2 linked regions of the Caenorhabditis elegans genome follow. The protein of the gene in region 1 interacts with the protein of each later gene in a pairwise test. Each region holds a gene or a part of one and is shown on either strand. Other genes may lie near its edges.

Evidence for each region.
Region 2: the proteins of ubc-22 (region 1) and nhl-1 interact in a two-hybrid assay, tested with the Caenorhabditis elegans proteins (one study listed by BioGRID).

Annotation. Positions count from the first base shown.
Region 1 is NC_003284.9:8,866,552-8,871,539, forward strand, and holds ubc-22 (UBiquitin Conjugating enzyme), read right to left. Parts: upstream 2,612-4,988; 5' UTR 2,580-2,611; coding exon 2,484-2,579; intron 2,351-2,483; coding exon 2,255-2,350; intron 2,209-2,254; coding exon 2,132-2,208; intron 2,082-2,131; coding exon 2,003-2,081; intron 1,565-2,002; coding exon 1,457-1,564; intron 1,360-1,456; coding exon 1,267-1,359; 3' UTR 1,052-1,266; downstream 1-1,051. Other genes in the region: ins-9 (INSulin related), read right to left, coding at 1-89; ubc-21 (Ubiquitin-conjugating enzyme E2 21), read left to right, coding at 3,074-3,235, 4,358-4,453, 4,499-4,581, 4,622-4,748.
Region 2 is NC_003281.10:9,147,405-9,155,995, forward strand, and holds the start of nhl-1 (RING finger protein nhl-1), read right to left. Parts: upstream 6,499-8,591; 5' UTR 6,401-6,498; coding exon 6,359-6,400; intron 5,926-6,358; coding exon 5,816-5,925; intron 4,262-5,815; coding exon 4,120-4,261; intron 4,075-4,119; coding exon 3,731-4,074; intron 3,685-3,730; coding exon 3,525-3,684; intron 3,447-3,524; coding exon 3,363-3,446; intron 3,312-3,362; coding exon 3,187-3,311; intron 3,134-3,186; coding exon 2,999-3,133; intron 2,368-2,998; coding exon 1,038-2,367; intron 747-1,037; coding exon 621-746; intron 575-620; coding exon 440-574; intron 394-439; coding exon 202-393; 3' UTR 1-201. Other genes in the region: Protein irld-34, read left to right, coding at 7,712-7,772, 8,164-8,267, 8,314-8,455, 8,523-8,591.

The DNA of each region.
Region 1 (4,988 bases):
AAGAATCCATTTTCGTTGTTTCCAGATACTTGAGAAAGGTGTGCCATTTGAAGTCCAATGACAAGAAAGACAATCAAAGTGACGATCATCGTTTCACTCCTCGAATTATTTGAGCCAGGATATTGTAACTATCAGAATTCACACTTTTATAGTAACAACATTTGGGGCGGGACATTTTTTTGAAATTTCAAATGTTTTCTGTATTCGTTAAAAATAGCAATTTTTCTCATCGAGAGACTACAAGTCAGAAAGATTCAATGTATAATGTAATCGTGGGGTTTAAGAGATTTTGACTAAATAATTGTAACTTTTTTTCAAAAAATGAACTTTTTAACTTTGCACTTTAAAAAACAACATGTTACGTGTGAGTGTTACATCAGAGAAGTAACAAAGTGGATAAAAGTGCATAGAAAAAAAAGACTTTTCAAAACAAAATCACCAACTTAATGATGAGGCGTTTAAATGCAAAGGGCTTTATCAGTTAAAAGAAAGTTATTGGTAATAAGGGTAGTGAATCTGGGAATTTTAATGTCAAATAGTAAGCACGGGAATCAGTGACCACGTTTAACTCCTGAAGATCAGAGCTGTGCGGTAAATGAATTTTTGGCACTCGACAATTACCAGAGTTGGCAAGTGCAAAAGTTTGGTCAGCTTCAGCTGTCGCCAAAAATGAAAGTTCGAAAACTGTTCGGCAAACTGCAATCCGGAACTTTAGGATGCTTATATTATATTAGAGTGTTTTTTTTTTGGGAAAACATAGTTATTTTTGCATACAGTGCATCTAGCAAGCGGTAATATCTTATTTAATAGCCCTATTCTGGCACTTTTCGAATCTGTCGAGATTGTTAATTTAAAGTCTCATACTGTATCTAGACTCTAAAACTGATAAATCAGCAAAAACTTCAATTATGATTTCAAAATTCACTTCACTTAAAAAATGTATTCAGCGATTAGTATTTTTCGATATATAGATTTTTATTCAGCAATTGTTTTACCTGATTTAATTAATGAGAAAACGTCTTCGCGTAAGTTGTTTTACTTCATTAGTAAGATTAGAATTCATCGACGTAATTTATCACTCAGAATTCAGAACAAGCACATAAGCAAATAAAGTACTACGACAAAACTCAACATAATTACCAGCACACATTTGGCCTTTGAGCTACAACTGTTTGAATGGAGTATTTAAAAAATTATTGACAATATACAATAAACATCAATAAAATATTGAATATGGTATAAAAAAGACAAATTGGTACAAAACGTTTATTCTTGTGCCTGCTCGTCGCCTTCCAAAAGTTGTTCAGCTGCATCTGCTAGATTCCAGTCACTACCACCCAGAGCAAGAATTGATTCCAGCTAAAAACAGTATTTAAATAATGTGTTGGTCATTCCATGCATGAGCTCAAATTACTTATAAAAATTAAAAAAAATTAAACATTGTTTGATTTCTTACTCTAGAAAATCCCATTTCAATCAGAGAATCGACTTTTTTCTTCTGCCAGTCATCGTCTGGGAGCGGGCGTCCTCCAGCAAATTCTGTTGTCCAAAATCTTGCAGTTTTCTGAAAATTCGAAATATTAACAATTTACATAAGTTGTGAATGTGTTGATGTTCAGTATGTGGGCTTCAAATTCTCAACTTTTTTCAAAAATTTAGACATGAGATGCCAAATATTTTGATGTCACGTTACTTTTTCATTTCGACAAATAATTGATTGGAAAATCAGGAATGTTGTGTGCTTTAATTGCACAGACTTTTTTTTAAATTAAAATTGAAAGGTGCCCAGTTGAAAAATATACTGAGGAATCAAATGTCGAATAGATTAAACTATGGAAGAAAAAATTTCAATAAATTTCTGCAGCCTTCAAATATCATGTAAAATCCTGGAAACCTAACACTATTTGCAAATCTAAAAACCATCTAAAGTGAAACAGTTTTAATAGTCAAATGCTTAAGTTTTTAGAAAGAAAATGCCACGTTGTTTACATTTAAAACTAACATAGAACATGACCTCCTCGTCTACCTCGATTGATCGAAATAAATCTTCAATATAAGACAGTGCCTCCGAAACATTGAGTCTTAAAAGAAATAAAGAACAAAAATTGCAGTTAATAAAATGACAGCGTACCGTGAGTAATTTTCGATGTGAACTTGCCCAGTGCTTGGCTCTACCGCACAGTTCCAAATGAGAGTTTGGAACTTGATCTGGAATAAAAATGAAAGGGGTATACATATTTGTAATTTGACATACTTGTGGGAGCGCATTAGGATAGTTGTCTGGGAATGTGAGGTCCACCTCAAATACACCTGTCTCATAAGGAGTGTCAGCGGGTCCAGCGATGTGAAACTGACAATGGAAACAAAGTTGGATATTATTTAAGTTTTTCACATCTTTTAAAACTTAAAAAAAAAAACTGATTTAGTGATTCACATTTAAATACTTTAAAAAGCGAGTTCTCATAGTTTTCTGTCGAATATACCGTTATTTTTTTATCCTCTTCGTTCACCATCTCTATAATGTACAATTGTTGAGCAATTTCCATATCGTCAAGAAACCTTTTTTGGTTTTCATTCATTGCTCGATGTTTTTGTTGCCACAATTCTGAAAATATCACTGTCGCTCAAGATATTTTCTGTCATTGCATTCGAATCAACTGGATATGTGCACAAAAACCGACAAAAGTTTTGAATTAATGAGGGTATCGATGTGAAAACAAAAATAGTTGGAGTGGCAAACAAGAGAAAAAAAAAGAAAACTAGCCCTTTTTTTTCATCTTTCGTCTCTTCCCACTCTTTCCACAGAATTCTTGGTGTCGCGTGTGCAAGATAAAAAAGACTTGAATTTGGCGGGTGAAATGACTAATAGTAAGAGGGGAAAAAGAAAGAAGGAGATGTAAGGAAAAAAGAAGAATGTGCACCAAGATATGGGCAACGACACTCCGCCTCCAATGCACGTGTTATAGTAGAATGCAAATGAGCTTTTTTTCGTCCTTTTTTGAGTTTAAGTGGACCTTGAAAAACACTATGTACGATTAAGTGCCAATGAGATTTTTTATTACATTTTTCAAATATGAGCGTATCGAAATTGAATAAAATGCAATTTTCAGATAAAATGTCAAATCTCGCATTGGCACGGGTCACACGGAAGTGTAAAGAGGTGGCAAATGCTTCTGATATCACGGAAGCGGGAATTCATGTCGAAATAAAGGAGAACAATTTAATGGATATCAAAGTAAGAGAAACAGAACCCGAAAAGCACACATTTTAAGCATAAAATAAGTTTTAGGCGTGGCGCCCAATGTCATTCACTATAATCAATAAGTTTCGCTGTTGCGCAAACAGGTGTCTTTTTATTCATGGACCTTTGGAAAGAGGGGGCCCATTGTGAGAGAGGAAAAGCGCGAGACACTCAGACATAGAAAGAAGAATACATGGATTAATGTGGCGCGCGATAGTAGTGAGCAATCAGATTTATAAAGGCCATGATCCTGAGACATTTAGCACTGTGACATTTTGAAAAAAAATAATAAGTGGTATTTGAAATACATCATTTTTAATAAAAATTACCCATTAGAAGTAAATGAGCAGTGCATTCAATGCCAAATTTGTTGATTGTGTATTTGGAAAAAATTAAACGGGTGTTACCTATTCGTAAATATTAAAATTTGTGCACACTTTGTCTTCAAACTGAAAACTTTCAACTAAAAAAAAGTGGTACTTCACAGGAAAAAAAGAATTTAACAAGTTTTTACAACACTTTTGTCCCAAAAATGAAAATAAAAATCTTTTGAGCCTGTCGCCAACTGAACAATTCATAATTTTTAAAACTTGATTTCTTTTCTGAAAAGTGTCACTTGAAACTAGGTATATATAGTGCAGCTGTTTTTATCATTCTGAAGTTATAAAAGTAACATGTTTTCCATTTGAAAAATTTTAAGTGTTTCGTTATTTTTTGGTGATATTGGCGAACTTTTTAGCTGTAAAGAAATTTGCGGAGCCAGTCTTGGTTGTGACTTCTGCTTGCCAAATACTTCTAGAAAAGTTTTTGATTTATCAACTCCTGACCGAACCTCAGAAGAACTACCGTGTATGTGAATAAAACATGTGTAGATTACATACTACTAAAAAGTTTCAATTTAATATGTCCTAAAACGAACGGCATCAAAAACGTTTTTTTCCAGTTTTTATGAAAATATCATTGATGACTTTGCTTCAAAATGTACCCGTTGTTTTATTTAAAAATACATATCACTCCAGACTATGGCCAAATTTTTATTGAATTGCGTCTATCAACTATTCAGAAAATCGTCTAATTAAACATATCTGTATTTACACCAAAACACCATTACTTCAGGGATTCATCAAGGGTCCAGAGGGCACACCTTACGCCGGAGGTACTTTTGAAATAAAAGTCGATATTCCTGAACATTATCCGTTTGAGCCGCCAAAGGTTACCGAAATTATATTTCACATTCGCGCATTTGAGTATATACAGGCAAAATTTGTTACACGAATCTGGCATCCAAACATCAGCTCACAAACTGGAACCATTTGTTTGGACATACTCAAGGATAAATGGTTGGTTTTTACATGTTTCTAGTTAACAAATGGGTTTAAGGACTGCAAGTCTTACACTTCGGACAGTTCTTCTATCACTTCAGGCCATGCTCTGTTCTCCTGAACCATCGGACCCTCAAGATGCAGTGGTTGCCAAACAGTTTATCAATAATTATCCAATGTTTACGGTAGAAATTTTTTTTAATAGAAAATGTTTTTTGAGCTTTGATACAGACATACATAATCTGTAAAGCAAACCGAAATTTGTCACATACACTGATATTCGTTGAACTGGAATAACGGAGTTAACTTTTTAATAACGATATGTAGTTTTTTTAAAAAGTTAGAAAATAATATACTACATACGTCAATGTAAATGGAGTTGAAAAATTAATTTCGAGGTTTCAGATGCAAAATTAAAAGTGAGT
Region 2 (8,591 bases), on another chromosome or scaffold:
TTTATTGAAACTCGAAAACAGAAGTGTTTTAAAACCGAAAGTCGTAATGGGTAATAATAATTAATAATACTTGTAAAAGTGCTTTGTACCTAAAGATGAAAACACTAAAAAGTTGGGTGGCATCGGTATCGATAACAGAAAATTACAAAGGAGACATTTTAATTGAAAATGAAACAAGAATAAGGCCCGAAAAAACATAATTTAGAAGATCTGAATGCGATGATTCTCGCGATCGGTGACAACAATTGAACCGTCAGCAGTGACACAAACATCTTCGACACCTTTCAGTTGTCCAGCTCCTCCACCCCAAGTTCCGAAAGAGGAGACAAATTGACCTTGGGCGTCGAAAACTTGGATCCTGTTGTTACCGGAGTCGGCGATTATTAGGTTTTCCTGAAAATGAATGGTTTAGAATTTTTCTTTAGCATTCCAGCCTTACCTGTGAATCAATAGCAATTCCACGTGGGAATTTGAATTGTCCACCATGAAAACCTTCCTCGCCGAATGAAAACAAATGAACACCGTGGGGATCGAATACGCTGATTCGATGATTCGAAGAATCTGATACATACACCTGAAACGATTCAGAATGATTCATGAATCTATCTGGAATCACTCACGTGATGAGTAACTCTGCTAACTGCTATGAACAATGGACTGTTTAGTTGACCAGGTAGATGTCCGAAAGATCCGAATTTTGCAATGAATTGACCATTTTTGTCGAAGACTTGGACGCGGTGATTATCCTATAATTTAAGCTTCACTTGTATTTTAGCATGTGGGGCAATGTTTTTTAAAATTTAATCTAGATCTGCAAAGCGGACCACAATAATGTCCGGCGTCCGAATTTCCAAAAAAAAAAAAATTAAAAAATGATACTCAAAATACCGGACGTCCGGTTTGCCTGCAATATATGAATCTACAAAAACAAAGTTCTTCTCTTGATGATAATTAATAAACAAAGTTAATTTTTATCAAAATGTATACAATTATGAACTTTCGCATTACTGAGAAACGTCTCATGATAGTTGACCTACCTTATCAGCCACATAGATACTTCCCAAATCATCGACAGCAACTCCCCATGGATTATTGAACTTAGCATTTCCCTGTCCATGTCCACCGAATGAGAACAAATGATCTCCTTCCAATCCAAAAACGGAAATTCGATGATTGTACCTGTCGGATACAATAACTCGGAGCTTTGAGCTTGCTAGCCCGGCAGCTGAATCAAGTTGTCCGGCACCGGCACCGTAGCCTCCGAACTGACGAACAAATTTTCCATCTTTATCGAAAACACAGACACGATGATTAGACGAATCACAAGTTGCGACAAGACCTCCGGACAATGCACAAATTCCACGTGGCCAGTTTAACTCGCCATCCTTCGCACCTTTTCGTCCGAATACTGCACGTGGTCTACCACGAGCCCTCCATTCACCAGCTTCACGAGAAGCGCTGCGGCCACGCTGTCGCAAAACGGCAAGCTTCTCTTTCTCTTCGTCGGTTGTCGTAGAAGAGTCTAAACGAGATTGACGTTCGGCGAGAAGCTGCTGCACTCGAGCACTTGTGAACTGTGCCTGTATGTCGGGATTTGTGCGCGAGCGTTGGAAGCGTTGCCTCCGACGCTGTAACCACGCTGGCACGACGATGTCACTTTCGTCTTCCTCACCTGTGAAATGTGTGACTGGAATCGCGACTTGTTCAGATGTCCCATTGGTGATCGGAGCGGATGCCGGAAGTTGATGTTGAGGTGGCGGAACATTTATGATCGTACCAGTTCCTGGGATCATACTCATCAGTCCATCATCACGGTTTACAGATGCCGCGCGACAAACTATTCGTATTCTACCGCGGTTGGTGGATACGGGAAAATCCTCTCCCTCTGATTCTTCACTTGAAACTGCTCTTGATGCAGCTCTAGATGCATCTTGACGTTGTTGATGAGCTCTACGGATGGTTTCCACTTTCTCATTCAAAGAATCATCGTTACTGGACTGTTGACGTGGCAGAGGTGGCTTTCGGATCGGAAGTTGTGGAAGTGGAGCAGGTGATGCATCTTCAGTCCTCTCAACCCGTTCAACAGATTGTGGTGGAAGAGGAGGTTTACTAGCTGGAGATACAGTTCTTGGTGTTTCAGTATTCGGAACAATCAGACTTGTTGGCCGTGACTTGGTTGGTTCAACTGATCGGGTGACACGATCAGCAGCCCACGGCGATGTTCGTGATGAAGAGTCCGCAGTGACTGATGTAGTAAGAAGAGAAGGAGCAGCAGATGAATTACGGAGACGATTCCAAGCTTCGTCTTCCAGCTGCTGACGACGACGGTAACGAATCGAGGACTCATCAGGCTCAGGATTTCGATGACTGAAATTAAAAGAGGATAGTTTAGAGAGGGAAACTGTATGGAGAAGTAATTGTGAGATTATACATTTAATAAATTATCCAAGCTAAATTGAACTATAACTTCAATAGATTTATGTCAAAATGCCGGTGCCAAATTTAATATTCATAAAGGGCGATCAATATGTGTTTGGCCAAAAAATAACCAAAATTGGATAGTAATAAACCAACATAAAAACGCGGAAACGCTTTTACTTTTTTGTCTAGCCGTTTTTCTTCAAAAATTCGAATAAAATTTTGAAAATAATTAACTTTTAAATAGTTTTTTAAATTGTCCGTTGCCCCTTTCTTAAATATTATTATTTTTATTGGCATGGCAAATTTAGCATCTTGACACAATTCTGGCGACCTCTAAGATATTTTAATGAATAAAACATAAATTGTACTATATTTGAGTGTAAATTGCAACAATAAGCCGTTACATAGAAAACTGAAAACATGAAGTCGAGAGCCAGAGACCGGACGTAGATTCATTTTGACACCTTAACAATGTTGATTTTCTATAATTAGTGTTCTACACTATACAACTAAACTACTTGACTAAAAATCACACGTTTGTTAATAAAAAACCAAAACCAATTCCCATGGAACATACCTGTGCCTTGAAGATGTCCTATCAGCTTCTCGATCTCTCATACTTGCTCTTTCGTCAGATTTAACCCGATAACTGTCACTTTCCAATGGTAAACGGAATGGTCTTGGAAGGTATGATTGTTCAAGAGGGAGGTATCTACAAAGTATTGACTAAAGATTTTCGTTTTTTTTGAAGTTTTTGAAATATACCTTCCCGAAAATTGAGGAACTAGAACACAAAGTTCACCAGAAGTAGTGATCGCTGCTGGAAGCTTAGCAGCATCATCTCCAGCTGAGAATCGGAGTTTTCGATTAAAAAGTTCGTCGGCGTCGGGCTAAAGCATTAATACAATAAGAAATGTTCAACAATTAAATTAAAAAGTTACCTGAAAGTTCCTAAGATATTCAAGCCCTTCCGTAAACGTGTTTTTCATTCGAACAAGTTCAGAATCTTCAATTGAACATTCTCCCTGAAAATTTTAAGATTTTTTTGTTATGATATCTTTTTGAAATTCTCGATAGCTTCAAAATATTCAATGAAATCCCACCTTGATTGCAGCATCCAGTCTAGAAACTGCTTCACTCATATTAGAACTTTCAATTTCCAGAACATCACGAAGATTGCTCATATTACGAGTCTCAGTAGCTTGAAATGTATCAACTTCCATGAGAAAGTTGTCTTCCTTCTTTTTCAGATCTCTCTGGTATCTGAATTTAATTTTTTTTTCGGGTTTTTATATCTTTTCAGACAAACCTGTGGAAATATTCTTTAATTTCTGCTTTTGTTGTCTCACAGTTCATTGTCATCATATCAACTCCTTTTGATAAATTATCCGATGCTTCCGTAATTCGATTGGCAAGCCGTTTAACCTGATTCAAAAGTCGCGACATGTCTCTTTTAAGCATATCCATATGAGTCTGTCGACATTCTTTACATGCTTTTCTATCACAATGTGCACATGGTTCACAGTCTGCTTTCTCATCACAAATCTTGCACCGTTCCAAATTGTACCTGTGAATGTACTCTTCAATTTCTGCAGCCGATTCTGGTGTGGCCTGCAGATGAATCTCGAGAAACCCGGTTAATGTGTAGTTTGGCTGAAAATGAAATATTTTGCTTCAAAGTGATACTTATTTTCACACCTGAAACGCCTTTACTCCGTCATATGGAATATTGTGTTCTGCTCGACATTCTGGACATTTCAAATTGCGATGTAACGTGTCTGCACAACTTTCCAAGCATGGATAGCAAAATGTGTGTTGACAAGGTAGAAGCTTGGGTTGTCTGAAAATAGTTTAAATCTATAACTTGATATTTAAAAGTTTAGCCATTCTGTTCAGCATTTATCTCTATAAAAATCAAAGCTCAAAGTATTACATTTCAACTACCAAGTTCTTCAGATGTCCAATGTCAATATCTCACGATTTCACAACTTTAAAAAATCATAAAAAGTCTCGTTTCTCTTTCTAAATATCTTTCAAAGAGATCACGTCCAGCAGGCTTCTTCGTTTCCTCATCGGTGTAATACACACACTTTGCAGCCCCATAGCCAATGGCAAAATAGTTGAGAACTGGCGGAGAATCCGATTGAAAAGTCTTCTCTTGGCTCCCTTCTCGATTGTAAAAAAGAGAAAAGAGAAAGTAGAGGAAAAGCCGTTCGACATGGAGATAGATACAACGGTGAAGCTGTTTCGAAATACTCTAACAATGAGTTGAGAACAACTGTGTGATTGATTTTGAAGTGTTTCATTGTTAAAAAGTGGATTGCCACCAGTTGAAATATTGTCATATGATTTCTAAGATTTCGAAAAAAATTCCAATCATCTATTGAATTGAAAAAAAAAATATTTGAAACGTTTCTTTTATCGCAGGAGGTATTTTTGTGAATTTTCAATGAGCACCGGGTTATAGCCCAAAAGCTAGAGCTTTTAATCTAAAAAATTGGCAAACTTATGATTAGGAAACTTCAATAAAAACGTTGAGTTTTGAAGATAATCGCCATTGAGAAAAAATGTTTAAAAACACTCCTAGTGGGCTAAAATACTACGCCAACTCTTCTTACTCGTCTTTCTCAAAAACAAAAAGATTTATAAAAAGTTAGCAAGATAAAACTTGAGAAATTAAACTTGAGAAGACAGAACAAGAAATGGCGAGTTGAAAAATATCATAGTATTACACCTTCTAAGCTTGAAAAACTTTACCCCTACGTTCACTAAATACAATGTTTGTCATGATTGTCTGAGGTCTCGTGCAAAGTTATTCAAATTTTTTACTTTTTTTTATTTTATTTTTGAGACTATAAGTGTATTATTCAAATATTTTACAAGAAAAGGTTCTCGTTTTTAAAATGGATGTTTACATTTGTTCATCTATAACAGATCAATGAAACATCTCTTTTTTTTAATGTTCCACTTTTTACTCTGACGTAGGTTAGTCTATATTTATTGACACAAACGTTGTTGATTTAACCCAAAAATGATCCTCATTTTTAAAAGATCCCTGCAGGATCTTAGATTGTTGATTTCTCCATAACGTTCTCCTAGCTAATCATCATAACAGTCTGTCTGATTTTATTATTGTTTTGATGCACAGTGCGTAAACAACCGGATGTTTATTATGCATCCCCTAAGTCTATCTCGTTTTTTCAAAAAAATTCCCCTCAGCCAAGCGGTACTTAGCCTAGGTCATATGATAACAGTGGTCAGTCAGAAGTCACACGGCCTATGTCTATCCTTGAACTACACACTAATAGTTTGTTTTGGTTGTCCGTGGTGCTTCTTCTTTCAATTTCGTCTGCTCACTTTCAAAACGAACAGCTGATTGAGATCACAGACTTACTTGTAGCGATCGAGACAAATCGGACACGTCAGCAACTGCTCGATCTTTTCGAGAGGATTCACAAAATCAGCTGGTCGACTCGATGGTGGACGTGACATCAGCTCGCGCATCTGAAAGAATCTATGGGTCATGTGGGTTAGAGATGATTGCACTAATCAACTAATCAATGTTGTACAGGGACTTAACTTTTTCTCAAAATCAGTGGAATAACTTTTCATTTAAAAAATAAAAACGTTACTTTAAAGTTGCAATGTCTATTTGAAATAAAGAAAATTTGTACAGCACCTATAGGGAGCTTAAACGAAATATAAAAATTTTGAAAATTGACAAAAATTTTAAATTTAAGTTTTAAAACTCAAAGGACCGTTATAGGGTTACCAATATTTTTAAGATAAAAAATTTCAATGAATGTCTCTAATAATTATTTTTTGTAGATGTTTAAAGTATATTTCATTTCCAGTTGTCCACAAAATTAATTTTTAAATGTTTGGAAAACGACGAATTTAAGATTTTCTTTAAAAAAATAAATTTTTTAGAACAAACCTTTTCGCGAGCTTCTGCTTCATTTTGTGGAGAACTGCTCATAAGGATTGAATTTTAGAAATATTGGAATTTCGAATTAAAAAAAAACAGGATAGAACGAGAAGACGAATCGAATATAATAATAAAGTGGGGTGTACTTGGAGAGTTGGGGATGAGTGTGCCGAGTGCTCCCGGGAGCCAAAAAAGATTTGAGACGCAGAGAAGTTGGAGAAAGATCTGGGGAGCAACAGACGAAAGACGCCCCCAGCCATCTCCTGCAAACACAGCGGCGGCCGATATCAATCGGTGTGCGTGGGGTGCGCGGATCGGATTTTGAAAAGTTCTTGGTTGAGTCTTTTACTGGTTTTTAGGCTTTGTTTGACTATTTACTCATAAGTTTTGAAACCGATGGGAATTTGAAAAAAAGATCAATAAGATATGAGGATATGAACGGCGGGAAGATGCAGCTGGTTTGTTGGTTCTCGAAGATTATGATAACTGTCCTGAACGTTGAAATATTTGAGAAGAAATTGACAAATTGAACTTCAGTATTTATTTTCAGAAGCTTGAAAGTGTAGATTAAAATTAGGATGTTTCTTTAAAACATAAAAATAGTCCGAAATTCAAAAAACCACAAAATAAAATCGAAAAATAAACCGCAGAAAAATGGAAATTCGAACTATTAAAACCGCGATTTTGAATTCCCTCCGAAATAAAAACTTTGACCAATCAGTGATTTGCTCCGCCCACTTTTCAACCAATCAGGACGATTGTGTAGAGTTTGAAGACGTTGAGTGGTTAGAAAATGGGCGTGGCTTATACTTTTGGAAGAAGTTTAAAAATGGAGAACAGTCACAATTGAAACTTGCCTTTTTGGTTTGTTCATTCTTTTTTATTTTTGTGGTATTTTCATAACACTTTGAGTATTTTTCTTTAAAGCACATTTTTTTAAACTTTTCAGGTAATTTGACGATTTGACAATTTCCCGAAATTCCTTTTTTTGTATTTAAAATCATGATTATTTGATTTTTCAAGCGTATGTATGTACTTATTTTGTCTTTTTTGTTGGTAAACTTTTGAAACTAATGATCATATAATTTGAATAAAATCTGAAAGTTCAGCATCCTGCTCTCTATAATTACGTAATCTTCAAAACTCCCACTAACCACCTTTCGACTATTTTTCATTAAAAAAAAACCAGCGAGTGCAGTAGCTAGAAGGCGTGCGAAATTCGCTGGTTACTATGACAATCGCTTTCCGGAGGGTGGGCGGAAATAATAAAAAATAAAGCAGTTTTTGAGTTGGTTAATCTAATCACAAGTTTTGTTTGTCTATCGTCTGGTTGCAACGAAAAAGAGTAACGCGCTGGAATTTATGCAATGGCCACTTATTGCCGCTCTTTTTACTCAGTTATATCACTTTGTAATTGGAGATGGTAAGTGAAAATGAAATAGTAAACATATTACTATTTTAGTTAGTTTTGGTTTAGAGACGAAATTTCGCAAAATGTTGGATAACAATTAAATTTATAAGAAATTACTACTCTCTTCTAACTGTCCAGCTTATCTCGGTTTTTTTTGGTTTTATCAAAAATTTGTTAATTGACAAAATACGCGCTAAATATTGATCTATATTCTGAAACAGTTTTTGAAACAGTTCACTTAAGAAATCCGAAATATGAGCCGTCAAAATAGAGAAATGATGGTGCAAGTCTAATAGGGAAAAAACTGCGTTTTAAATTTTATTTTCCAATTGCCAAATGCAAAAATCTTAAATATCATTCTAATCGGTAATACTTTTGATAACTTTGAATATATCATTTACAGATTGTTATTGCCCATTATGTGAGTTGGACAAATTACCCGACAACTGCACAACAATTCATGGACATATTCAAATGGGTCTCGAGTCAACAATGCCACCGTTTGAGGTTTTATTTATTCAAAACACTATAGGATTCCAATAATTTGTTTAAGATCGTTGAATACAAGCTGGAAAATGTCACAAAAATAGTTGGATGCATAACGATAGCCAACTCTGGTTTCACAAGTCTGTCACTTTTATCAAATTTGGAAATAGTTCAGTACTCACAAACTGGAAATTCTTCTACATGTTCCTGTATGTTCTTTTTGGAAATTTTGAAGACTTTGTAATTTCAATATTAATACTAAATGGTATTTTTCAGCGTACGGAAATATAATAACAATTGCGAAAAATAGTTTATTGCGTAGGTTGTACTTGACAAGTTTGAAGA